Linked DNA regions of Danio rerio. The protein of the gene in region 4 interacts with the protein of the main gene of each other region in a pairwise test. Links are inferred from orthologs where the notes say so. Each region holds a gene or a part of one and is shown on either strand. Other genes may lie near its edges. The genes, in order: snx10b, rab33a, snx15, rabac1, syt16, fxr2 and zfyve21.

The links.
Region 1: the proteins of rabac1 (region 4) and snx10b interact in binary tests that used the Homo sapiens proteins (3 or more experiments, as listed by UniProt). The two-hybrid records come from large-scale screens. The link is inferred for Danio rerio from reciprocal best matches to the Homo sapiens genes RABAC1 and SNX10.
Region 2: the proteins of rabac1 (region 4) and rab33a interact in binary tests that used the Homo sapiens proteins (3 or more experiments, as listed by UniProt). The two-hybrid records come from large-scale screens. The link is inferred for Danio rerio from reciprocal best matches to the Homo sapiens genes RABAC1 and RAB33A.
Region 3: the proteins of rabac1 (region 4) and snx15 interact in binary tests that used the Homo sapiens proteins (3 or more experiments, as listed by UniProt). The two-hybrid records come from large-scale screens. The link is inferred for Danio rerio from reciprocal best matches to the Homo sapiens genes RABAC1 and SNX15.
Region 5: the proteins of rabac1 (region 4) and syt16 interact in binary tests that used the Homo sapiens proteins (3 or more experiments, as listed by UniProt). The link is inferred for Danio rerio from reciprocal best matches to the Homo sapiens genes RABAC1 and SYT16.
Region 6: the proteins of rabac1 (region 4) and fxr2 interact in binary tests that used the Homo sapiens proteins (3 or more experiments, as listed by UniProt). The two-hybrid records come from large-scale screens. The link is inferred for Danio rerio from reciprocal best matches to the Homo sapiens genes RABAC1 and FXR2.
Region 7: the proteins of rabac1 (region 4) and zfyve21 interact in binary tests that used the Homo sapiens proteins (3 or more experiments, as listed by UniProt). The two-hybrid records come from large-scale screens. The link is inferred for Danio rerio from reciprocal best matches to the Homo sapiens genes RABAC1 and ZFYVE21.

Annotation. Positions count from the first base shown.
Region 1 is NC_133191.1:22,386,779-22,390,773, reverse strand, and holds the start of snx10b (sorting nexin-10B), read left to right. Parts: upstream 1-1,195; 5' UTR 1,196-1,274; coding exon 1,275-1,367; intron 1,368-1,446; coding exon 1,447-1,547; intron 1,548-2,204; coding exon 2,205-2,306; intron 2,307-2,868; exon of another isoform or gene 2,869-3,415; intron 3,416-3,712; coding exon 3,713-3,929; 3' UTR 3,930-3,995. UniProt on the Homo sapiens protein: Probable phosphoinositide-binding protein involved in protein sorting and membrane trafficking in endosomes. Plays a role in cilium biogenesis through regulation of the transport and the localization of proteins to the cilium.
Region 2 is NC_133189.1:19,966,491-19,970,698, forward strand, and holds the start of rab33a (ras-related protein Rab-33A), read right to left. Parts: upstream 2,801-4,208; 5' UTR 2,766-2,800; coding exon 2,502-2,765; intron 1-2,501.
Region 3 is NC_133182.1:19,941,065-19,944,564, forward strand, and holds part of snx15 (sorting nexin-15), read right to left. Parts: intron 3,107-3,500; coding exon 2,957-3,106; intron 2,864-2,956; coding exon 2,654-2,863; intron 1-2,653. UniProt on the Homo sapiens protein: May be involved in several stages of intracellular trafficking. Overexpression of SNX15 disrupts the normal trafficking of proteins from the plasma membrane to recycling endosomes or the TGN.
Region 4 is NC_133191.1:11,086,695-11,090,948, reverse strand, and holds the start of rabac1 (prenylated Rab acceptor protein 1), read left to right. Parts: upstream 1-1,454; 5' UTR 1,455-1,482; intron 1,483-3,937; 5' UTR 3,938-3,947; coding exon 3,948-4,018; intron 4,019-4,254. UniProt on the Homo sapiens protein: General Rab protein regulator required for vesicle formation from the Golgi complex. May control vesicle docking and fusion by mediating the action of Rab GTPases to the SNARE complexes.
Region 5 is NC_133188.1:41,039,365-41,043,552, forward strand, and holds the start of syt16 (synaptotagmin-16), read right to left. Parts: upstream 2,801-4,188; 5' UTR 2,622-2,800; intron 506-2,621; 5' UTR 416-505; coding exon 136-415; intron 1-135. UniProt on the Homo sapiens protein: May be involved in the trafficking and exocytosis of secretory vesicles in non-neuronal tissues. Is Ca(2+)-independent.
Region 6 is NC_133182.1:22,730,745-22,734,244, reverse strand, and holds part of fxr2 (fragile X mental retardation syndrome-related protein 2), read right to left. Parts: intron 2,222-3,500; coding exon 2,042-2,221; intron 132-2,041; coding exon 1-131. UniProt on the Homo sapiens protein: mRNA-binding protein that acts as a regulator of mRNAs translation and/or stability, and which is required for adult hippocampal neurogenesis. Specifically binds to AU-rich elements (AREs) in the 3'-UTR of target mRNAs.
Region 7 is NC_133188.1:47,247,021-47,251,047, reverse strand, and holds the start of zfyve21 (zinc finger FYVE domain-containing protein 21), read right to left. Parts: upstream 2,801-4,027; 5' UTR 2,723-2,800; coding exon 2,597-2,722; intron 1-2,596. UniProt on the Homo sapiens protein: Plays a role in cell adhesion, and thereby in cell motility which requires repeated formation and disassembly of focal adhesions.

The DNA.
Region 1 (3,995 bases), about 11 Mb from region 4:
AAATGTCACAAATCAAAGATTTGATGTTAAATCTTTAGCCCTGCTCACTCATAAAGCACTGTGGATTACATTTTTGTGAGTTTCTCTCTGAATATATTTAAAACCAAAAATTTAAATGTCCTTGTCCTTTGCATTTCTTCAGTTGAGCCATTTGCAATACTTCATGGTATTGTGACTTTTCTTTTTTGAATCCACACTTTCCAATTTTCATGGAAATTTTTTGCTTCAAATCAAAGTTTTAAATATTGTAATTCACCTCATATCTGGTTGGTGCGTTTCGTGTCTTCTAATGCTTTAAAGCCTTTTAACAAATCCTTATGGGCAAAATATTTCCTGAACCAGCATTTATGTGCATCATTATAGTTTTGTTCTTGGTGTAAACAGGCCATTTTAAAAGTTATACTGTGATAAATCCTTTGATCTGTGAGCGAGTATTGTGACTCATAAATCGGTAGATTTGCACAAAACTAATTCTAGAATGTAGCCTGTACAATCACACTTTATTTGTGACATTTTTATTTTTGGTCAGTTTCACTTTCATAACAGCAGTATGATTAGGCCATTTACTGTAGGCTGAGGTTTTGCTGAAGTCCTTTGTCTTGCTGTTTCACTTTTCTAAGTTCCTTTTTTCTGTAAAGATCACTGTAACATTAAATCTCTAGGTGCTTTAAATAAACATAGACTTACCTCAGAAGTGTTGTGATCGTTCTTATTAACATGAAAATTTGCAGTCATCAGTAAAAGTGTTTTAAAATCAAATAACTCTAATTATCGTTGGTATATTATAAAATAAAGTCAGTTCCTAGTAGATTGTTCTTTTAAAAATCATAATGCTCATAAATATAGTTTATAATAGCCATTTTGTTTTTATTTTAAGAGGTTTGAAACCACTACAGGTACATGAATAACTCTTTAAGTACTGCTATGGTTGTTTTAAACACGCAGGCATTATGATTATGAGACCCATTTTTTCCAGCTGCTTTTTCCTGCTCCTTTTATTTTTATGGTGCAGCTAGTCTGCTGTGTCTCTAGTGGCTGGTAAAAATGAAGCACCGCTGTCAGTCACAGGCACAAAATGAGCTGTGATGTTTTTCCCAAGTCTACAGTTATCATGAATCAGCCCCAGTTGGTCAACAAGACCAATGTCTCATGAAAATACTTCCTACTTTATTCTTCCCCATTTTTTATCTCAAAGCTTGCTGTTGTGTGTCACTGTCCAATAAAAGTTAGTGAGTGAGTGTATTCGTTTGCTCTTTTCCATAATTCTTGGACTTATGCAGGAATTCACTGGCGTTTGGGTGAGGGATCCTCGCATCCAGAAGGAAGATTTCTGGCATGCCTTCATGGATTATGAAGTTTGTATACATGTAAGTGCAGTCGTATGCAAATGGTTAAAACAAAAGTCAGATGCTTCCTGGTTGTTATTTGTATTTTGTATTTGCTTAGACAAACAGCTTGGCGTTCACTAAGAAGAGCTCCTGTGTGCGGCGGAGATTCAGCGAGTTTGTGTGGTTAAGAAAAAAGCTACAGGAAAATGCCTTGCTCATGTATGTAGCCGTTGCATCTGCTCTTGCTATTTATATCTTTTATTACTAATGGTTATTCATATGTAGGCAAGACTTCAATACATGTGAGAGTATCTGCATACTTATTTTATTAATATTATTATACTTTTAATTTGAAAGAATATATTGAGAATGTATGAATTTGAAAAAAAATCAATTATAATAAATGTTATATATATATATAATTTTTATATATTAATGATTTAATAGATTTTTTTAAATTAAATTAATACAGACAAATCCCCAGACCTTGTGTGTGGAAGTCATTGGTTATAGTTGAATTACATTTCCAATGTAGTTTTTTAAAAAAAATAATAGATACTTTTAATCAAGTAATAATTTTACGGAGTTATTTTATTACTATTTTAATATTTAACATTATGTTTACTTAGTCTATTTCAATTACTTGCCAACACTTTTGTTAGTTTGTAAGGATTTGCACATTTAGGTTTTCCATCTAATATTTTTATATTTGTTTTATTTAATTTTTAGTATAATCCTCAAACATATATTCAATAGTTTTGGCTAACAATATCAACACTGCTAATTGTTAAGCAGCTGTACTGTAGACATTTTAAAATTTCTGTCATTGGGCAATTTCCATTGACTCAAACTTAACCTTTTGTATTTGAATTGCAGAACACATATACCTAAACTTCCTCCAAAAAACCCCTTCTTCAGTCTCAACAATGCAAAAGAAATTGGAGCCCGTATGGAGGGGTTAAGGAAATTCCTAGAAGCGTAAGTGTCTGAATAACCACACACACACACACACACACACACACACACACACACACACAAAACATTAAATAAAAACAAAACCATGACTCACAATCAAGGGTGGATTAAGTGATTTTGGGGCCCTTAGCAGTTCCAGCCATGGAACCAACAGTCCTAAAATGCACCCTTTTTAGTTTTATTCATTTTTATTTATTTCAAGAATTCACACTTAGCTGATGATTGATTATAAACAAGTTTGGCATGCTTACCCAATAAAGAGCCCTGAGCTCAAAAGGTCCTTGAGCCCTGGGCTCCCTCCTGTTTGCAGGGCGCAAGGGGAGCTCTGAGCTCAGGTAGCTGATCTCTGGAGAACTCCCCCCTTGATGACAGAAAAGGATTGCTATGGAGAGATATGCTACTGCATGGGAGTTTGACTGTAGTGCTAAATTTAGATTGATCAATGAACTTGTAGTGCATGTTTTTGGAATGTTGTAGGAAACCAGAGAACCCGGGGGCAACCCACGCAAGCACGGAAAGAACAAGCTAACTTCACACAGAAACGACAGCCAGCCTGTTAAAGAACTAGAACCGGTGACTTTCTTCCTGTGAGGCAACAGTGTTAATCACTGGGCCACCGTGCCACCTTATGAAGAGAAAGGTGGAGGAGTGGGGATGGAATGGGGGATTCTTCAAATCGAAGATGACTGTAGTGAGAAACCCTGTCTCTTTAGAGTGGGTTAGGATTTGTTTGATTGGTGGATCAAACATTGTTAAAGCAGAACCAGCCGTGTTCAATCATAAACACGTGATCCTCTCGAAATTTGTTTATAAATAAACTTCACTTATTTTGCAGGGTTTTTTATATCACGGAATCTCCTTTTTCATGTTTTATCTCAATGAAATCTCTACATTTTAAGTGATTTGTGTTGTTTACGTGAACTCACATCTAAAAAAAATAAATGAATAAATTGAAAATAATAAATATTTTTTAAACAATTGAATCTCTACCTGACTTGACTGCTGGACTGCTCCATGATTGGGACAAATTTGCATAGATTGTATAATTATGGTAAAATGTAAATTCTAAGACCCTCACAATACAAAATATGATAGAAAACAATGCTATTTGTATAATTTATACTTCTTGGTATTTGTTGGTCCCCTCAAATTTCCTGAGGCCCTAAGTGGCTGCTTACTTTGCTTATTGGTTAAATCTGCCCCTGCTCACAATCACTTTTGATGTCTTGAGCATTTGCTTGTTTTTCCATATGATCTTGTAAGACTTTTCTGATAAAAGAATGAATAAATAAAAATCAAACTTTTTGGTACAAATGAGATTTTACAAGTCTATTTAACAATCCACTAATAACTAAAGTAACTGAAATGGTTATGGTTTGATTAATCAGTAAAATGTTTACTTCTTCCAGGGTGGTTCACAGTGCGGTTCTGCTGTCAGACAGTTGCTTGCACCTCTTCCTACAGTCCCAACTAAGTCTGAAAAAAATTGAGGCCTGTGCTGAAGGCAGGACTCGCTACACTGTATCCGAGGCCATTCACAGTTTCAGTTCTGGACACAAACGCTTTGATTCACTGTGTGAAGAGAACATGGAAGAAGAGCAATGTGTGCAATGTGAATCAGAGTGATTATTTTTGGACAATAAAATGGAGTCAACGCACATTATGCTTTTAGATATAAAAATACAACCTCTG
Region 2 (4,208 bases), on a different chromosome or scaffold from region 4:
AGAAAAAACAAGACAAAAACAAACATCAGCACTAAAGAAAAGTGACTCTGACAGCTAAGAAATACATTTATTTAATTTATAAAAATAATTATTTATGAATTGATCTTTAAAAATAAAAACTTTAACCATTCATAGGTATTAAGTATACATTCTGAAGATTTCCGTTCAAATCTTTGACCTTATTTTTACATAACTTTTAACGTCATGTAAAAGAAAAATCATGAAAAAATAATCACCTCTGCAATATTTACAGTTAGGGATTTTTCAGACTATTTATTCCAAAGCAACTTACAATTTTTCTTATACAAGCTTTTGCTACATAAGACAGATATAAAAATTGCTCAAAATAATAATTAATAATTTATTAAAATACAAATACATTAGGGCTAAATGATATTGGAAAAATCTGATATTACGATTTTTCTGCAATAAATATTGTGATACGAACACAGTTTCACAAGATTATCAGTTCTATTTTGCAATTTTCTGGGGAGTCTAACAATATTTAGGTGCAGTAATACCAGTGCAAGAAAATAGTTTTCTTAATTTGCATTTTCTCGTTTCTAGTACAAATAACGATTTTTTTTTATAGTTCAAGTACAAATACTGTTTTATTCTCACCTTCTTAAGAAATAACAAAAAAGTTTTTTATTTACAACGAGCAAAATGATCTGCCATTAAGGTGAGTAAAATAATCTTGTTTTCACTTCGAAATGTAGATATTTGGTCTAGAAACAAGACAAAAAAATTGAAGCAAAAAAAAAAAACATTTGCATAAATTGTTACTTACAAACACCAAAATTTTTTGTGCCCAAATGTTTTAAACTCTCCTGAAATGCTTGGTCATAGGCCTTAAAATCACAAGCAAATGATAATGTGTATGTATATATGATTGTATGTATGTATGTATGTATGTATATCGAATGTAGTCGAAATTATTAGCCTCCATTTGAAATTTTTCTTCTTTTTTAAGTATTTCCCAAATGATATTTAACAGAGCAAGGAAATTTTCACTGTATGTCTTATTTGTTTTATTTCGGCTAGAATAAAAACAATAATATTAGCACCTTTAAGCTATATATATATTTTATCGATAGTCTACAGAACAAATTAGCCTATCATACAATAACTTGCCTAATTACCCTAACCTGCCTAGTTGACCTAATTAACCTAGTTAAGCCTTTAAATGTCACTTTAAGCTTTATAAAAGTGTCTTGAAAAATATCTAGTCAAATATTATTTACTGTCATCATGGCAAATATAAAATAAATCATTTATTAGCAATGAGTTATTAAAACTATTATGTTTAGAAATGTGTTGAAAAATTCTTCTCTCCATTAAACAAAAATTGGTAAAAACAATAAACAGGTGGGGCTAATAATTCTGACTTCAACTGTATATTTATATATGTGTGTGCGTGTGAGTATACATTTGAAGTCAGAATTAATAGCCCCCCTTTGAATTATTATCATTATTATTATTTTTAATTTTTAAATATTTCCTTTAGAATGTTTAACAGAGCAATGGCATTTTTACAGTGTGTCTGATAATATTTTTTTCTTCTGAAGAAAGTCTTGTTTGTTTTATTTTGGCTAGAATAAAAGCAGTTTTTAATTTTTTTTAAACACCATTTTAAGGTCAACATTATTAGCCCCTTTAAGCTATGTATATTTTTTCGATAGTCTAAAGAACAAACCATCATTATGCAATAACTACCCTAATAACTAATTACCCTAACCTGCCCAGTTAACCTAATTAACTACTTAAGCCTTTAAATGTCACTTTAAGCTGTATAGAAGTGTCTTGAAAAATATCTAGTTAAATATTATTTACTTTCATCATAGCAAAGATAAAATTAATAAGTTATTAGAAATGAGTTATTAAAAATAATGTGTTGAAAAATGTGTTGAAAAAAAAACTTTTCTCCGATAAACAGAAATTGGGGAAAAAAATAAGCAGGTGGGCTAATAATTCTGACTTCAACTGTATATATTCATTTACATCTTATATGCTCATACATTTTTATAACCTTTTATATACCAGGTTGACAACCATTTGTTGATAGACCAGCATAAGGTGCATCTATAACTTTATGATACATTAACTTTTATCTGATAATAACATTTTGGTGCAGCTGATGGGGAGTTTGGAAAAGGTAATGACCATCTTTTACGAAGTAAAAACCAGTTACCATTTACCAAAACATTACATTACCATCCTAAGCAACAATAAAGAGCAGGTGTGACCAAAGCACTCGCATTTTTGTTTTTAATTTTCCACATGACATGTAATTTGACTCGCCTGTAATGGAAACTATAAACTAGGCTATGTTTTTGACGCTGCATGCGATCAAAGAAACAGTAATGGTAGATATTAACGTTACTCAGAATGTAAACATTGAGCTTCCTCGTGATGCTGCTGTCACTGAAACACACAATACAATCGTAATACAACGAGATGTCGGCCTTCAGGGCGAGAGCAACCCCTTCTATAAATCCCACCTTTATTTTCTCGCCCTCGATCTCCACCGCTTTCTCCCTGAAATCCACGCCGATGGTGGCTTCAGTTTTGCACGGGAAGGCTCCGCCGGTGAAGCGGAAGGTTAAACAGGTCTTTCCCACATTTGAGTCCCCGATGACAATGATTTTAAAAATCCGCGTCTGCACGCTGTGATCCAGAGACGTGCTCAGGTCTAGTGACGACGTGAGGTTGGCATGGCGTGAGTTGGCAGTTCCGTCTCTGTTTTCTGAGAATTCATTTGCCATAACGGTGAAATGATGTGCCGAGCCTGGTGTTCACTGGTCCGGCGGTGATGATGGTGGTGGTAGTGATGGGGGAAGGGATAGCAGATCCACTCCCTTTGCAGATGCAGGGAGTTTACATAGCCCGACAAGTGTTTGCCAACTGATGTAGTTGATTTAAGCAATTAAAAGGGAAATTAAAACTAAACTAAATTCTCCCCTTAAATAAACAAAACAACATGACATTTAAAGGGATAGTTCCCTCTAAAAAAACAATTATTTAGGCTATTGGTTCGTTTTTGTTGTCAAATAGGCTACTTGAATGAAGAATTTATTGCAGTAAAAAGGCTATAAAATGAAGTTTTCGAAGAATATTCACCTCTTTTTAAGACAAAAATCAATTCAACAAAGCACCAATAAGAATCTAAAACTGCTGTTTCTTTTAAAATCTTTTGAGAAACAGAAAACATATTACATATAAATCTCTGGTACATTTGAAAATTCTTAAATAAAGCATTTTATAGAAGTTAATGTTTTTGAAAGTGAAATTTCTAAAAGCATGAAAAATAATCTTATGATAAATTGTTTACCCCGCTGCAGAAAATTATGTAGCTGCTTTAAGTAAAAATTAACTTAATTTTAAGCAAGAATATTTTCTTATATTGTCAATATTTGCAATAGAAAAAGGAAAAAACTCTAAGAAATATATATTATTTTGCACTGTGGAAGACCATGAAAGCCCCAGATAATATTGTAGCATAATCGATTAAAAATTTAAACTGCTCTTATTAAGATGCTTGTAAAGTTAAACAACAGGGGTCATCCCCCTCCCAGTGTTTGTGTGGGTTTCCTCCGGGTGCTCCGGTTTCCCCCACAGTCCAAAGACTTGCGCTATAGGGGAATTGAGTAAACTAACTTGGCTGTAGTGTATGTGTGTGAATTCAAGAGTGTATGGGTGTTTCCCAGTGCTGGGTTGCAGCGGAAAGGGCATCTGTTGTGTAAAACATATGCTGGATAAGTTGGTGGTTCATTCCGCTGTGGCAACTCCTGATGAATAAAGGGGAAAATTAATGAATGAATTATCTGATGCATTTTAAAGTTACACATTAAAGGACAATTATTATTTTGTAAAGGCACTGACATATTTGCACTCTTGCACTCATATTTGCATATTTGATATGTCAAATTCAGAATGAACTGGTTAATCATATGAATTTTTATTTTTTTTTTAGCTTTTGGGAGGGCTGCTCTAGCTGAATCTGAGGACGTTTCATAATTGATTAAATAAACTGAAACAACACTGAACTGATCTCTATAACGATATTGTCTTCAGTTGAAATTGAAGGTATTTCATAACTGATGAAATTTAAATGTAGCAGTGTTATTTTTTTTCTGTCAATTAAAGCTTGTTTGAAGAGTCTGTATTTTTTTATGTTGCTACACTACCGGTCAAAAGTTTGGGGTCAG
Region 3 (3,500 bases), on a different chromosome or scaffold from region 4:
AGCAACCTAGCTTTCCCATGTGGTCTCCCATCCAGGTAGTGACTAGGAGCAGCTCTGCTTAGCTCCAGTGGTGGACCATTTGAAAGTTGCAGAGAGCTAGCTGCCGGCAATAATAATATTATTAATAATAATAATAATAATAATAATAAAAATAATAATAATAATAATAGTGGTTAAGATAAACATTTAAAATTGAAAATGCCATTTATTTCTAAAGGAGCTGTTGACATGAATTTGATGCATATTTTGGTAAAAACCCAAACAACTCAAACTCTGTATCAAACAATCCGAACATCCAATTCAGAAAAATTTGTTATGCATAATAACAATGGAACGACACAAGAAAAAGGTACTGAACTACTGAAATGTACTTATGCTAATGACAGCTTGTAGTATGAAGAATGGAGTTGCATACATTGCTTAGGTGTAATTTTTTCCCCCAAACATCAACAGAGTCTAAAAGTCTTGACGGTTCTGTGGGTTTTGTCTATCCACTTTAATTCATTTTTACTATTGGATTCAGGTCAGGTGATTGCCTGGGCCATTCTAGCAGATTTATTTTCTTTTTTCTGAGACCCATTGAGATTTTCCTTGCCTGTGTTTGGGATCATTGTCTTGCTTTAATATCAACCCTTTTTCATCTTCATCATCTGGTTGTGTAGATGTTTGGAATAAAGCAGCTTATATTCATGCTGTCTGCTGTCTAGGATTTCCATGACCTCTAATACCCCAGTTTTTTCATGTGTTCAATACTGTTCCCCTTTGTCATTTCATTTATTTGAACACACAAAAGTTAATTTCTAAACTAATTAGTTTTGTTTGCTTTATATGTATGAATTACTTTGGTTGTTACTGACACCTGGTGACAATGTCAAGTCAACCAGCACCTTTAGAAATATGTTAAATGCAATATCAGAGGTAGAGGAGAACAGTTGTCGGAAAACTGCCAACAATTTTTTGCATTTTTTAATGATTTAAAAACCTTAAATGTGGATTGTGTAAGTATATATATATATATATATATATATATATATATATATATATATATATATATATATATATATATATATATACGGTTTTTTATAATTAGTTTTTTCTGTATTTGTATTTATTTCATTATTATTATTATTTTATTTTTCAGATTTGTATTATTTTATTTGGGGATTGCTTTGTTGGGGCTAGATTGGATTGTATATGGTTATTGTATATGTTTTCTAAGAAAAATAAGAATATTTATTTTACTCAACATTGATAACATAAATAAGAAATCATTATCGGGCCCCATGTCTACATATTAAAATGCTCTCTAAAAGATCATGTGACACTAAAAACTAAAGTAATGATTCACAGGAACAAATTTGAAAAAATATATTAAAACTGAAATAAGTTAACATGAAAAACATGATAAACTATATCAATAACACCTAACAATGAGGTTCCATAAATGTTAGTTAATGTATTGACAATCACAAATGAACAATAAACAATACATTTATTACAATACTTAACCATCTTTAGTAACGTTGGCTAATGAAATAAAGATGTTCATAGTAAATTCTTGTTAACTGTGCATTTACTAACGTTAACAAGCACAATTTTACATTTTAATAATGCACTAGTACAAATTAAAATATGATAAATAAACGCTGTACATGTACTGTTCAATTTAAGTTCATGTTAATAAATACAAACAACTAACATAACGAATGGAACATTATTGTAAAGTGTGACCCTATATTTCATAAAATTGTTGATTAAACTACATTTTTGATTCAATAAATGCAGTCTTGTAAAATACAAGAAACATTAAAAAAAATTTATGTCTACCACAAACTCTGGAACAGCAGCGTCTCTAAATTGTATTTCAAAATTAATTCATAACCTTTCAGTTAATTAGTCACACAAGAAATAGAACGTCTGGTCAAGCACAGTGCATTGTGGGATGCTATTTTCCCAATTGTGTGTTTTTGTTAAATATATGATATGTAACCAATGTTGTGTTTAGTATCCAGACATTTTTCATAAAGAAAATTTGCACCAATTATATACAGTTGAAGTCAGAATTATTAGCCTCTTTTTGATTTTTTTTCTTTTTTAAATATTTCCCAAATGATGCTTAACAGAGCAAAGAAACTTACACGGTGTGTCTGATAATATTTTTTACTGTAGAGAAAGTTTTATTTGTTTTATTTCAGTTAGAATAAAAGCAGTTCTAAATTTTTTATGAACCATTTTAAGGTCAAAATGATCAGCCCCTTTAAGCTATCTTTTTCTGATAGTCTACAGAACAAACCATCATTATATAATTATTTGCCTAATTGCCCTAACCTGCGTAGTTAACCTAATAAACCTAGTTAAGCCTTTAAATGTCACTTTAAGCTGTATAGAAGTGTCTTGAAAAATATCTAGTCAAATATTATTTACTGTCATCATGGCAACGATAAAATAAATCAGTTATTAGAAATTAGTTACTAAAACTATTATGTTTAAAATGCGTTAAATAAATCTCTCCTTTAAACAAAAATTGTAACAATAAAACAAAAAATTAAAAGAAATAAACAGGGGGGCAAATAATTCTGACTTCAACTGTATTACATACTGCAAAATATCAATTAGTGTTGCAATGTGCATGCAAACAGCCTCCATGTCTTACCTTGCACTCCTTTCATAAATATATCAACAGCCGCCCTGTATCGCTGTACGGCTGTGCTATAGTTGCCTTCTCTCTCTTGTTCCTGGGCAGCATTCAGCTCTTCATTGGCCTGGTACACATAACTAACATCTACAGCAGAATCCGTCCCATTTGAACCACACAGAGGAGCAGACAGGAGTTCAGCATGGCTGGGTGATCCGTACGGTTGATCTGAGAGATTGAATCAAGCTATGAGAGTGAGACTTTGCTTTAAAAAACAATTGCATGTAGACATGGTAAGTCAAACTGAATAGATTCTCCCACCTTCTTTGACACAAGGGTCAAAAATAGCGAGGTCTGTGTCTGAAAGCAGAGGCGGAGCTTTGAAGGAATAGTCCTCCAATCCTGAGTCAAACAGTGCATCAAACTCTTCCAACTGGTCGATTGGAGAGCCTGGCATTTCAGGCGAAGCATCTGCAATGGAGCAGTAAACCATTGTTTAAAACTTTTATTTTTAATGGCAATTTTTATTTTTAACAATCATCATTAAAGGTAATAACTTATTAAATTTTAATCAAATATTAAATTAGATAAAATAAGATTTAGTTTGGAGACCAATTCACAATATTAACTATTAACTATGACTTTTGCCTCCAAATAAACGTCTAATTGGCTCTTTATTAATGGTTAGTAAAAGGGGTGTGACAAGATGCTTATTCCACGAGATGAGACTAGACATGAGATAGGGTTCACAAGATTTTTAATACTTTTTTGGAATCCTCAATAAAATATATGAATGGAAAATGTTTTTCTTTTATTCAACTTAAAACAAATCACAAATTGCAAAACAATTTATGTGCTTTTTAAA
Region 4 (4,254 bases):
CTAATATTGATAACAATAATTAATTTCCTATATCTAAAATAACTTTTTTTTTTGCTATTAGCAATCACACTGTGCCTACACTACCTGACAAAAGTATTGTCGTCGATCCCTGCTGTAAGAGCAACAAATAGTAACTTGACTTCTAGTTGATCATTTGGAAAAGTGGCAGAAGGTAAATTTTTTGATTAATCATGTTGAACTGCATCACACATACTGCTGACCTATTGGAACCCTCATGGACCCAAGATTCTCACAGAAATCAGTCAAGTTTGGTGAAGGAAAAAATATGATTTGTGTTTACATTTATTCAACATCAACAGCCTGAGATATCAAGACATTTGCTGCCCTTTTCATTACATATCACAGGAGAGGGCAAATTCTTCAGCCGGATCACGCTCCTTCTCATACTTCAGCCTCCACATCAAAGTTCCTGCAAGCAAAGGTCAAAGTGCTCCAGTATTGGCCAGCCCAATCACCAGACATAAAAGTTATTGAGCATGTCTGGGGTAAGATGGAGGCGAAGGCATTGAAGATGAATTCAAAGAATCTTGATGAACTCTGGGAGTCCTGCAGGAACACTGTTTTTGCCATTCCAGATGACTTTATTAATAAGTGATTTGAGTCATTGCAGAGATGTGTGGATGCAGCCCTCCAAGCTCATGGGAGTCATACACAATATTAATTATTTTTCCATTGCACCATGACTTTATATTCTATACTGTACATTATTTCTGTTAAGTCTTTTGTTTTAGCAAAGTCAGGCCTTACTATCCTCATTAAATAATAAAAAATCAAGGCATAATCATATTTTATTTTGGTAAAAGAAGCGTACACTAGAGGCCTTTGCCTTTCAGCCACTGATACCAAATCATCAACTAAGTCAAGTTATTTGTTGTTCCTAAAACTTGGATAGGCCACAAGGTTTTTGGCAGTGTGTACTGGAAAAGAACAGAAATCCAATTCCTGAAATTAATAGCATTTAGCTAGAAAAAAAGTATTTATTGACATCACATATTTATAATGCTGCAAATGAATGTCAACTATACAATGTTCATTACTAGGTATGTCTGTTCTTGAATATTAAAATATATTATATATTATCAAGGGCTGATTTAGTGATTTTGGGGCCATAAACAATTCCAGCCAAGGGGCCCAAAAGTTCTAGAATGCATCTTTTGTACTTGAATTTTTAAAAATTATTTTCATATTTTTTTAGTTTTGCTGTTTTTTTCTTATATCATTAAACCTCATTTTCTATATTTTATCTTAATGCAAAATAATAGTTATAACATGTAAAGGACATTGTATCCATTTAAAAAAAATTTAGGTGCATGCCCTGTATGCTGATCCGTGTCACTAGGAGGCAGTCGCAAGTTTGACTCGTGTTAACTTATGTCAACAGAAGAAGATCGTCACCGCTGTTTGCGAACCACATCATATCCGCTGCACATCAACACAGTCAACACATCTACACAAAGTGCTGTGAGTATGATTGTTACTTTAAGGTTTACTCCCCTTTTAAAGCACAATTCTAGAAATATTTCGTCTCACTGTCTGTCGATTTCTCTATGTTACTAACGTTACCGATTGATCTCAAAGTTAAGGGGTATCGATATATATTTTGAGAAAGAGCGCTTGCTGCTGTCTGTAACGGATTTGATAAACAAACTTTATGGATTATGTTTTGTGACATACCAAAAAAAGAAAACGTTGTTTATTGTCTGACTGTAATAATTTATTTTTTGAGGCACATCTGACGTAATGTAGCAGCTTAACAAACTTGCTCTACCGGATTGTTTCTCTTCTTGAACGCAGAGTTTCAGTTGCAGCCCATGAGTGACATCATTTTTCCAGTAACGTCATTGAACACGTTCATAACTTACCATAACATAGAAAGCGAGCTTCATAGATTAAGTGAAGACATACAGAGGAAGTTTAGAAAGTTGCTTTCTGTGAAGGAGATCAAATTCATTGTTTTCCTATCAAGTGTAAAAGTCTTAGTATCCCTTGACTAAAGTTATGTGCATGTTCTTGTACTTATAACGTTAGAGGTAAAGTTGGTTTTATATTCGCACATTTAGAAGTCCCTATATTGTTTACCATGTTACTTTGAATATTCGATCGGAATTAGCCTGCAAGTATGACTTCTAAATAACATTAATTCTATCTAATTGATTGTGAACAATGTTGTACTTTGATAATCATTTGGTGCTTATATGATTTTCCTATTCGGAATTTGCAAAGAATACTTTTCTGAAATTATATTGTTAAGGAGAATGTCTGAATATCCGAATATAACTTTTCCTTTATCTTATACTTCACTTTGAAGAACCTTTCATCTATAGTTTGCTATTCATTAATCCAGCCTTTTGAAAGGGTTTTTTCTTAATAGGTAGATCTTTTTGCTGTTGTTCGCCTCATTTTCTGTTTAGTTATGAGATTTCAATGCTGAATTTAGATGAAATTTTAAGCACTTTTTACCTGACTTTATTGAATCAATTATCTTGTTGGATGGTCATCATAACCACACTTTTTGATGTACCAAAACATTTCCTAAATATTTATAATAAAGAAATAAATATGGCAAATATGTGTTTTTAAAACAGAAATATATTGCATCATTTATCATGCATCAACGTTTTAAATTAGAAACTGTAGCCTAGTGTAATTTATTAAGCAAATAACTGACTGGCCAGCACATTCAACTTTCCTCAGTCAGAATGTGGCCATTTAAATAATAATAAAAAACTAAAACATAATAATAATAATAATAACAACAACAACAGTTAAGAGCTTCACAGTTTTTCTAGCCTCTTGTATAAGTACTTTACACTTTATTGGTTATTTTTTGTTTCAAGAAAAGTGATTGATAATAAAAGTTACTTGTCAAATCTTTTCCCAATTTGAAAACAATAAAGTAGTGAAAGATGACTTTGCTTATGTCAGGTGTTTTCTTGCACAGCTGGATGTTGGACTCTTGAAAAATAATTGTTTGTATTGGCCAAAACTGATTAACTGAAGTCACACCAGGATTACGCTTGGTCTTAATGCCTTTTTCGATGGGTTATTTTCACTATTTATGATGGCATAGCAGTCAAAAAAGAACAAATGAGCTCATGTATTGGACAAATTCTGGACCTTTGTCAGTGTGGGTGGGTGGGTCTTCCGAAAACCCCTGGCTACGGGCCTGGTGAGTGTTTTTTTTAAGTGGATAAAAGGATTAGTTCACACAAAAATAAAACTTCTGTTATTAATTACTCACCTTCACGTCCTTTTAATTCCTGCATGAAATCTAAGTTTCCTCATCATCCTTTTATGGTCCAGACACATTTATAGTCCAGAAAAGGAACTAAACACATTGTCAAAACATTCCATGTGACTTCAGTGGGTCAACTATAATCATATGAAGCTCCAAGAACACTTTTGTGTGTCAAAAACGTATCAGATCAGGACATGCGTTTATTATGAACTCTGATTACCTGAAGCGGAAGAGAGGACAAATAGTGGTACTTAATCACATAATTTAAATTTTTGGGTGAACTAACCTTTTGAAGTTTTATATGAAAGGCCATGGTCCTTTGTTATTCATACAATGCAAGTCAACAGTTACCTGCACTTATAGAGTCAAACATAAATATACAGGCAAAACATATTTAACTTCTGTGACACCTGAAAACACATTGAGGTCTAATAAAGGGAAACTATAGGTCTGTGCAAAAAGCTGAGCAATATTAACAGTAACTTATTATTGCATCTTACCCAATGATCCCACTTTCTTCTTTTGACAACCACAATGTCCTTTACATCTCAATCAACCCACATAGTATAAATGTACCAGTGGCTCTCAACTCTGTTGGAAATTAAATCAACATATGAATATATTTAAATCAAAATAGTAATACATTCTTGTTGATTAAGATATGTGTTTTATTATTAGACACGTCGAGATGGATGCAAAAGTAAGTGACCCCTTTAGCAGCGAGGCAGAGCAGCTTCCAGGAGCAGGAATTGTGGGAAGGTGAGTCTGTCACCAGAAATACTACAATCTGTAAAAGCCCAAAACTCCAGAAATTGTTTATTGTTTAACTCTTATTGAGAGTCACATTAGATAAAAGACACTGCTAAATGATTAATTTCTTTAAAAAAATTATTTTAATTGTAACTTTCTTTGTTGTTGTTTATATATATATATATATATATATATATATATATATATATATATATATATATATATATTTATATGTATGTAAGTAT
Region 5 (4,188 bases), on a different chromosome or scaffold from region 4:
AATTAAATTGAGTGATGTTCAACTTCATTTGTTCATTTTCAGCCCATATAAATTGTTTGCAATCAGTTATCTTAAAAAAAGCGTATAGCAAATCCAATGAAACATTTTTTTCAGTGCAGCTAACCATCATCTTACCAGTATCAGAAGTAAGCAGACTCCTCCCGCTCTCCAGTTCATCTGTCTCTTCGCTGATGGGAGTCAGACGTTCAGCAGACAGTGCATAATCAAACTTGTCGCCCTGTGAATCCACTACAGATCCATGAACAACCCTCAAATTCACCTCTGAACTCTCATCTTTCACTGAGTCGACAGTTTCATTTTGGCCGAGGCGGCGGAAGCCACTGGAAAAAGCATCTGAAATCTGAGCGAGCCATGAGGAGAATGCTGGGATACCTGTCTGAGGAGTATCTGCCATTCCATTAAATGTCAAGGTTTTACCCTGTTTGCACTAAGGAGGTCTGTTTTCAGATGTACAGAAGACCCATTGAAGTTCCTCATGCTTTCACTGTATTAAATTCAAAACATCGATATTATGGTCGAAGAAAGAACATTATAATCATTTGTTCAATTAAACAATAAACTACATTTTGTCTATGCATAACAGATAACTAATGTACAATGCAAGGTTACATGAGCAGTTACATAGAGGTTACATGCAGTGCTGTTTTATCATAATTGCTTATCAATTACAGTTATTTTATTTTTAATTACAGATCAAATTTGAGCTATTCTGTCTTTTTGTCATTTTATGTTTAGATTATTTTAGTACATGGTTTTAAGCTAAATGTAAAAATACTTTTATCATTATTGCTTTAATAATATACATGTATATATATATATATATATATATATATATATATATATATATATATATATATATATATATATATATAAATATATATATATATATATATATATATATTAGATTTTAGATCTAATAGATTTTATTTTTTTATTATTAAAAACATCAAATCAAATTTCACATCAAATTATTTTGGTTTAATTTTTTTATGCAACAACATATACGAGCAATTCCAGCGTTATGGAAGTGAGATTTGCAGTAAAAACTCAAAACATAAATGAACAGAGAAAGTATATGTTTACATTATATTAAGACATCTTGTTATAGTTTTCAAAAGAACTAACCACAGAGTTATGGAATCCAAAAAATATTCACCTGTAAACCATCTTTAAATTTTAAATGAGGAAAATAAGCATGCGTTATAGATGTGACCAAAACGTCTGTGAGTTTACAGTCTACAACATACTTTGTAGAAATTCTGTCAATTAAACTGCAAAACCCAATAGAAACAACGCTAATCAAAAGGATAAAAGTTGACTCACTTTAGAACAACAAAAAAAAAAACCGATTGGTTTTATTTGACATTATTGCATTCATGAGAAAAATGTTTCATTATGGATGTGACACCTCTCCGTTATTTATGTGACAGAACTGAATTTGGCACTTGTGTGACTTGGTTAAATCAAATATAATTGTTTGAAAACACTGACAGAGACATTTTTGAGTATTTTTACAATATTCTAAAATACTAGCCTACACAAAAAACCTAGAAACAGTTTTGCTATTTTGGTAAAAACTTTTTTCATGGCAAGCTTGATATTTGCATGGAATTGCTCACATACAGATTTTACAGTTCTTATGGCTAATAATTAGGGCTGCCCAATATTGGAAAAATCTGACATTACAATATTTCTTTTGCTGCGATATATATTGTGATTTGAATACAATTTTACCAGATGGCCTAGAATACCTCTATTTTGAAAAATCCTTAATTTGATTAGTTGGGTTGACTTTGTAAGGGTGTGAATCATGTATAAAAAAATAATAAACAAATTGCAAGAATAATTACAATAAAGCAACGATAAAAGTAAAATAAACAGTGCTTTATGGTTTTCCATTTAGTCAAACAACATTCGGGTAAAGTAATGTAAAATAACACTATCTAGTGTTTATTGTAATAATAATTAAGTCAAATTATTCTTCATTAAAGTTACAAATGTTTTACGTTATTGTGCCTAAATGCTTTACACTCTTGAAATGCCTTTAAAACATATCCAAATGATAAAGTTTCACTCTGATATAGCTATACAATGCAATGACCTCACAAATCTCATGTATTCTCAATGTTGATCGACTATAATGCCAATTTAACACTGCATATCCCGCGATGTGACTATTGCGAACACTCACATTGCGATATCAGTGCTGAAACGATATATTGTGCAGCCCTACTGATAATGATTACTAACATAAATACTTAATAATAATAATAATCATAATAATAATAAATATTTACTAAAAATAACACTAAAATAAAAGTAATTCAATTCTAAAAATGAACAACAAATGTGTCTATATCAATAAATCAATGAACAAACATTGAATAAATTAAATACATTCTCGAATAAATTACATTATTTTAAATATCTCTCTCTCTCTCTCTCTCTCTCTCTCTCTATATATATATATATATATATATATATATATATATATATATATGTATAAACAACAGTAAATTTGCAATAAATAAAACTAAATTCAAATTTCTAAGACAGTAACCAACACATATTCTTAGATTGCTTTTAGATCAGACACTTACCAGCAAGTCTTCCTCAATTACTCCATTTACTCGATTACTCTTTGCACATATAACAAACCTTCTGTCAAACCAATTCAGCAGGACCTGAATTCATAACATTTATCTAGCTGCTAGACGCAGGACATCTCGCAGGACGGACTGACTGAATGTTTACTAAAGGAGCTGCTTTTAAATACCACAGCAGAACTTCCTCCACCACCCTGCTGATATACAGACTGAGAAGTGTGTTGGTGTGTGTGCGTCAAACCAAAAGGTGCAGAGTTAACACACAGGTGGTGAGTATGTGTGCATAATGTGCGAGGAAAGAATAGAAAAAGGGACAACCCATAGAGCACATAGAGATATGCATCTAATTAGAAAACTGGATCCCAAACACTCCCCCTGTTTGCCATTGGCCATCAAACAGACTGAACAAACATCCCACACACTGTTCATTAAACATCCCAGGCTATACCTGTATTCATCTGAGATTATGGTCAAAGTATTGTCTGTTTTAAAATATATCGCAGTTCACATCGTTTGTAATATTGCAGTTTGTGAATGAAAAAGGTCTGAAAGGTTTTACAATAAACGGTGCTACTGTATTTTGAACATGCATTTATGTAAACCTATTGCAGAAGGCCTTCAAAACTAAATTAGAAACCCTAAACACACCATATGCGGGACTTTTTTTAACCTGTGAAACCTTTTGCAAAAACAATTACTCAGCAAAAAAAGTCGGAGCAGTATTACTCACCCAGACCCTGGTGAATCCCTGCACGGTCTCTTCGCTTGCGTCGGCTGTACTGCTCTAGGCAGGGCAGGCCCCCGACACGAGCAAAACACAGCTTCTTATTGATGAACAGGAAGAGTATGGCCAACAAGACCACAAAGATGCCCACGGCCGAGAGGAAGCCCACCGCCTCAGGAGTGACTGAAGAGAGAACAGACACACAGATCAGACACTGATCAGAAGGACAGAATTGATTGATTGATTCATTTTCTTTTTTCGGCTTTAATCTTTGGTCACCACAGTGGAGGGAACCGCCAACTTATCCAGCACATTTTTTACGCAGCGGATGCCCTTCCAGCCGCAACTCATCACAGGGAAACATCCATTCACACTCATACACTACGGACAATTTAGCTTACCCAATTCATCTATACCACATGTCTAGATGAACGTGGTACTTGTGGGGGAAACATGCAGGGAGAACATGCAGGGAGAACATGCAAACTGTAGAACAGACAGAATTGATATCAGATAAATCAGTTAATTAGTGGTGCACCAATCAAACCGATTCTGAATGCAAATTGTCAGATTCTGATACTGATTCCCAATTTTATTTTAAGGTGCAGTAAAATTTACATTTTTATAAGTTAGTTTTAGTCTGTTAGTTTGAAGAGTATCTGCTAGTGTGCTCTAAAACAGTGACGAAATTTGCTTTTAGATAACATAAATCTGATTTAATCCATTTACTTTTTGAAACTCCTAGTGATCCCATATACTTGAGCTGTACAAACACAAAAATTGTGTCCGTATTAATCACTATATCTGCTTTGTAGGTTTGCTGTATTGGTTGAGAAC
Region 6 (3,500 bases), on a different chromosome or scaffold from region 4:
GTCATTACGGCGGCGACGTGAGCGTCTTCTGCGGTCAATACCACCCATGCTCTCGCTAGCATCTGTATCACCGCCCTGTTCACCTTCACCCTCCAGCAGAGAGTATGGGTTACTGTCCGGATCTCGGAGGACTGGAACACACACAAACACAGAAGTCAAGCACAAAGCAAATAATAATGTAGAGAATTTTGCATGGATAGCCTCCCAAGCATTTAAAAAGGAGCTTTGTGTAAATTATCATTAATTTCCTTTTGTTTTTTAACACTACAATTTTGAAAAGCTTGTAAAGAAACGCATAATAAAAAGAATTAATTTAAATGAGAGTCATATAAATGTATAGTCTATTCATATTCCCAATTTCTATGCTAAATATGACTTTTGCTCATTAATAATATCCTAATACACTGATTATTAACATTTAAGGTAGTTATAGCAGTGCCATTCAAATATCGAAAAGATTACGGTGTGAAGAATATAGAACATATGCATTAAAATGTTATAAGTACAAGTACTAATAAACCAATAATATTCAAACAAATAGCTAAAATTGAGAACGGGTGCCCATAAAAAACACATCCAGATCACTTACTGGCCACCAGTGTAGCTAATGATGAAGATTTCTGACTTCTATGAATAACCCTTCAATAAAATACCTTTTTTAAGGTCTAAAAGCCTTAGTTTTCTCAAACTTTGACAACTTAATTTGTCATTGTCTTGCATGATTTTTTTTCTTGCATACAATAGACCCTTTTCACATTATGTCCGGTTTCACTCCACGCAGTGTATGGTTACTTCCGCCTACACAGAACTCCCCATAGAGAACTCACCCAGTCAGCTGTATATTTACTACAGAAACAATTAGACTGTGACCAGGCAGTTTTCTGTTGTCTGCATTCAAGGTGAGACATCTTAAAAAATAATTTTAAACATCAGGCGGATTTTCTCTTGGACCAAGATAATGGGACTTTAAACAGAGTGTATTGCTTTGTGTGGCTGTATTTACTCTAGATGAAGTTGGTATGTACTTGTCAGCTTTTGTCAAATAAAGATTTCAGACGTTTACACGGGTGCTGAACATTTTTTTTGTCAAATTATTTTTTAGTATGTTTTTGTGCCCTGTAGAGTAAGTAATAAATACAACTGTGTGCGTTATACTGCAGATGTTTACAGTGGACAGCTGATTCACAAACACATTTATATAATTCACATTCTACAGCTCAGATCTCTGAAATTTTGCTTCTATAAAAGGCATTTCATTTAAAAACAAAAAACATTTAATTCTAAGATTCAAATAAAATAAAATAGAACAACAATGTTGTATGTGACTCAAATAATCAAATGAAATCATTACAAAAATTTACAGTGGTAAAATAACACCAAGACGACAGCACTTTAATTCAGTATTAGTAGATTTTAAAATTATTTGCAACATTATTATTTAAAAGACAGTACAGATATCAAACTAAACCCATGCATTGTGGCAGCAGAACACCGTCATAATTCATTTAAATGGAGAAACTGAACAAATCATTAATAGATCAGTAAATAATAAGCGATAAAACGAATTGCATTTATTGATTTACATATAACAGATAAAATTATTTATATTCAAAGCAGCATCAAAACAAAAATAAACCCATTATTGATTAAATAAAACAAAACTAAATTACATAAACTTAAGTGAAAAATGTTGCAAACATATACTTTCCTTGATAAACAACAGCCTATTCCTATTCGTAATAACTTAAACATTTTCAAACTCAGAAAGCGGTTCAGTTTTGAAAGAGTAACATTTGGACAATTCCAATACTTTAATAGTTTTAAATCACAACAGGCAAAGTTAATATTTTTATTTGTAAATTTTCCAGAAGTCTGCCAATCATTCGAAAGTACACTGGAACAAAAAATACACCTTGCTGCTGATAGGGGGAAGTGAAGTAGGGTCATTGTGAAAATGATCTATTACAGCTACTTATAATAACTATATTCACTACTAACAGTGGCTCAGACTTCTATATATTAAAATTCCAATTGGCTGTACCTGAGCTGATAGTGTTAATGTTTCTGGGTCCTGGTCCTCCACGGCCCCTGCCAGCGCTGGAGCCACGGCCTCGACCTCCACGCTTCGAACCCCGATCATCTGCTCCAACCCCTTTAGGCCTGGACTCCCGATCCCCCAAATCCTCTGTCTCTGATGCATTGGACATCTCAGAGTTAGTTCCTGCGAGAAGAATGAAGAATGTTAAGCAGCAGGAACACAATTTATACAGAACAATTTAGGCACCTTAGTAGCACTGGTGATATTTGAGAGAAAAAAACAGCCTGTGTGAGATATTTATCTCAATGCTCGTATGATACTGCCTTATGATATGACACAGACACTAATTTATACAGGGCATTTTTGCTCCAGTAACTTGCATTTAGAGGCATATAACAGCATTATGTACACTACATTCTAAGATTAACGTCATGCACCATCAGTCAACTGTATGAAATTTTATTTATTATTATCTTAATTGAGAATTTCCCTGTAAAACGTACTACACATTACATCTACAAAACAAAGCTTAAAAGAAACATTTCAGTTTTTTGTAAATAGGCTCATTTTACAAGTCCCCTAGATAAAAGGGTATATGCAGAAATATGCAGAAGAACTATCTTCGGTCAAGCACTTCCAGTGAACTGTGTGCATTTGCAAAATCGCCTGAGGTCTGTTTCTTACAAAATTAACGATCACTGCCCGATTGATATACAATATAAAGTGGGTTTTAGAATGTACAGGAAGCACTGCATTAAATTAGAATTTCCCACGCCATGTCTTTAAAATATGAACATTTATTTTACTCGTTTCTGCGCTCGCCTGCTGATCCTGACGGGCAGGTGGTTGTAAACGGCTTTTCATCTCGTGTTACGCTTCAACAACTAAATGAATGCTCAAGTTTATTTAACTGATTATATTTTAATTACATTACAACATCAATGCTGTAAAAAGAACCGTAAAATACTGAAAAAAAAGTCACATTGACCAGAAGTTTATCGAAATAGTAAGAAACACTAGCTGTGCATATAACGTATAGTCCTGAAAAAAAATATGCAGATAGTTAAACAAGGTAACGCAGTTGCAAAATATCATTGCACTTTAAATAATAAAACTCTTTTCAAATTGTTTTTAGATTAATGCTAATGGTCTAATCTGATTCAATGGTTTATGCTAAGCTAAGCTAAAAGTGCCCATGCAAGATCTGCAGATTGGCTAGATGGATTGCTAAATTTCTGTGGTTTAACTGGCAGACTTAAAATGTGCCTATTTTAGTGTTCCTTTGAGGTAAAACTAAAGAAAAATGTTTATATTTCTTCTATTGTGTATAACTGTGGAATGTGTTTGAAAAGAAAAAATAAGAACAGGTGCTTAAAATGTTTTTATAAAATAAGTCAAAGAGGCAAAACAACAAGGAACAAAAAAATCAATGAAATTTGACTAAAATTTGTAGCTTATAACT
Region 7 (4,027 bases), on a different chromosome or scaffold from region 4:
AAAAGCAACCATCATTGAAGGAGCAAATCGTACTAAATTGTACAAATTAGATCGTACGAACTCATACGAATTAACCAACAAATCAAAATGTTACAAACTGCCATGAGATTGCGTTGTATAAAACTGATATAAACATGTAAATTTAGCAGTTTGTCACTTCCATCTAAATGGATTAACCTTTTTTTCACATCACCTCATACTTCAGTTTCTCAAAGCTTGACCAATCAAATGCTCTCTAGTCTCTGACATGCCCCGCCCCCTTCAAGATGCTTTTCATTTGACGTGCTTGAGCTCAACCAGTCTCACTTGCAGAGCTGTGATAAAAAACAAAATGCTATTGGCTACTTTTTTTTTAAAGGGGAGGGGCTACGCTAAGTCCCACCCTCTCTTCATTTTTCAGTTGAGATTACGTCAAACATCGAATAAAAATGTACATTTCAAAGCACTTCACGGGACCTTTATTGGCTTTATTTACAAAAAACTACTATCACCTGATGCACTGCCAATGATAAGATCAGATTAATGACAGAATTATAAAGCCAATTTAAAGGATGTTGATTAAAATATAAACAGTTGTAAAGTAGATATACTTTAGCAGTTTTGTAGGAAAACTGACACTCGAGAGTTCTTAATGCCACCCTCTGATTGGGTGAGACTTTTGTAAAATCATGGGTAATGCAGTTTTCAAGATATTTTTCTGTTAAATGCATAGTTTAATGCAGGGGTCACCAAACTTGTTCCTGGAGGGCCGGTGCCCTACAGAGATTAGCTCTAACTCTTATCAAACACACCTGAACAAGCTAATCAAGGTCTTACTAGGTATACTAAAAACATAAAGGCAGGTGTGTTGAGGCAAGTTGGAGCTAAACCCTGCAGGGACACCGGCCCTCCAGGACCGAGATTAGTGACCCCTGGTTTAATGATCTTTTAAATCTGAAAAGACATTGATATTTAATGAATATTAAGACATATATGTATATATCTCAATGCATCAAAAGCTTTGAGTGTCCTGAAAAGCACTATATAAAATGTAAGGAATTATTATTATTATTAATATTATTGGCGAAGCAGTGGCGCAGTAGGTAGTGCCGTTGCCTCACAGCAAGAAGATCGCTGGGTCGCTGGTTCGAGCCTCGGCTCAGTTGGCGTTTCTGTGTGGAGTTTGCATGTTCTCCCTGTGTACACGTGGGTTTCCTCCGGGTGCTCCGGTTTCACCCACAGTCCAAAGACATGCGGTACAGGTGAATTGGGTAGGGTAAATTGTCCGTAGTGTATGAGTATGTGTGTGTGTGAATGTGTGTGTGGATGTTTCCCAGAGATGGGTTGCGGCTGGAAGGGCATCCGCTGCGTAAAAACTTGCTGGATAGGTTGGCAGTTCATTCCGCTGCGCTGTGGCGACCCCAGAATAATAAAGGGACTAAGCCGACAGGAAAATGAATGAATAAATGTATTATTATTATTATTAATATAACACATCCTTTTGATCAGTGTAATTTCTATTGGAACGTGTAGCTTAATTCACAGAATTTTCAACAAGTTTACTATATACTTTTTGGTCATTTCCATAAGCCATGTTCATTTTCCAAATTTCAAATATAAAACACATTTACAGATCATTATTGATGCATTAGCTCTTTAGTTAATTGTGTTGAAAGATATAAACTTATGTTTCAATATACTGTTAAGCTTAACATTCTTTGTGTATTTTTATTACCGATTTCACATCCATTACACTAGCTTTGCTCAACTGATTTCTAGCTTTGCTCAACTGATTTGCTCAACTGACTGACTTTTTTTTAAAGGGGAGGGGCTACGCTAAGTCCCACCCTCTCTTCATTTTTCAGTTGAGATTACGTCAAACATCGAACAAAAATGTACATTTCAAAGCACTTCACGGGACCTTTATTGGCTTTATTTACAAAAAACTACTGTCACCTGATGCACTGACAATGATAATAATAATATCATTGTATAATATCATTATTATCATGATAATAATAATAATAATAATAATTTCTGTGTTCAATAGAAACAAAATAATAAACTTGTGAATGTTTGAACCCACATAAGAGTTAGTAAATAGTAATCTAATTTTCATTTTTGGGTGAACTGTCCCTTTAAGTGGTTGACGTGACACGTGATGTGGCAAAGGTGATGGAAATTGTACTTTTGAATGTCAGTGGTTTCTGCATACCTCGCCATATATTATTAATAAGTGGGCGTGGTTTAATCGTCTGACAGTCTCTTGGCCACACAGAAGCATTGGGCAAAGTTTGACCCGAATGCCATGCCATCCAAACTGTCTGTCACATGCCCAGCAGATCAATCATTTATCAATACATTATACATGTTCACAATGATGGTTGTTCGCTCACATACACACTACAGTACTCACTACAGCAGATATACTAGGTGATTTGCATGCATTTCAACTCAAATCTGTTTAAAAGATCTAAATCGTGCCATCTTACGTCTTTGTAGTACCATCTGCGAAAGTTAGCAAATATTTTCCACTGGCTCTTCTTGCCTTAAGCAAACAACGCCCAAAGCATCATCATCATCACCATCCCAATAATCAGTGATCGATCTTCTTTACCTCTTTATCCGGAACCCACTGCGGCTCGTCCAGGGTAAACGGACTGTTGAACGCGCCGTTCTCCGGTACCATGCGGAGTCCGCTCGGGCTCCGGACCAGCTTTTTGCCGTCAGGAACAGCGGACATGTTTGTGTTTATGAGTGCGCAGCTGCTGCTGGAGAGAAGAACGGAGCAGACATCAGCCGCCCTACCAGCCGCACGGACACCGCTTCAACATAAGAGTCCCTCATAGCTCTAACATAAATATTTTTAACAGTCTGTGATATGAACAGAAATAAAATGTAAAATATATTCTTCTTCTTCTTCTTCTTCTTCTTCTTCTTCTTCTTCTTCTTCTTCTTCTTCTTCTTCTTCTTCTTATTATTATTATTATTATTATTATTATTATTATTATTAATAACAATAATAATAATAACGACTACTATGATGATGATGATAATAATAATAATAATAATAATAATAATAATAATAATAATAATAATAATAATAATAATAATAATAATAATAATAATAATAACTATTATTATTAGTAGTAGTAGTAGTAGTAGCAGTAGAACTGGAATTGTCATTACTGCAGCTGGTATTATTAAAATACAGATCCTTTTAATCTCCCAAGCCAAAAAAACAAAAAAAGGTTAAAGAGTTATGCATTATTTTATATTAGCATTTTAAATATTGGTAATTTTATAATCTCGCTAATAATAGTAGTAGTAGTATTAGTAGAAGTAGTAGTACTAGTAGTAATTATAATATAATATAACATAATATAATATAATATAATATAATATAATATAATATAATATAATATAATATAATATAATATAATATAATATAAACATATTCATCATAATCATTATAATCATAACCAAAACAATCATAATAAATATTATAGTTTTTGTATTTAATTGTTTACTTTAATTTAGCATTATTTATTATTTTATATATTTTATATCCTGTATTATTGGATGAACCCAATATTATTATTAGAGTAAACATTATTTTTATTAGTACATGAATACACCTTAAACAATTAGTTGTTCCCAAATTCTGACATGTATTGTACTGTGGATTCACAGTCAGTAAAATTACATGAGGGTCCTTAACAATACAAATAGAGTTCTCTTGGGATTAATACTTTTTATTTATATTTTTATCATAATAATTGTTGATTTCCCAGAGATGGCTTGCGGCTGGAAGGGCATCCGCTGCGTAAAACTTGCTGGATTATTTGGTAGTTAATTCCGCTGTGGCGACCCCCGATCAATAAAGGGACTAAGCCGACAAGAAAATGAATGAATGAATGAATGAATACTTGTTGGTAGTACTGTTGTGAATATCTAATATAATATATTATAATATATATATAATATAATATATTTAGCTTTTCCCCCAGTAAAAGCTTTAAGGTCTTTGATTATACAATAAGAGTCC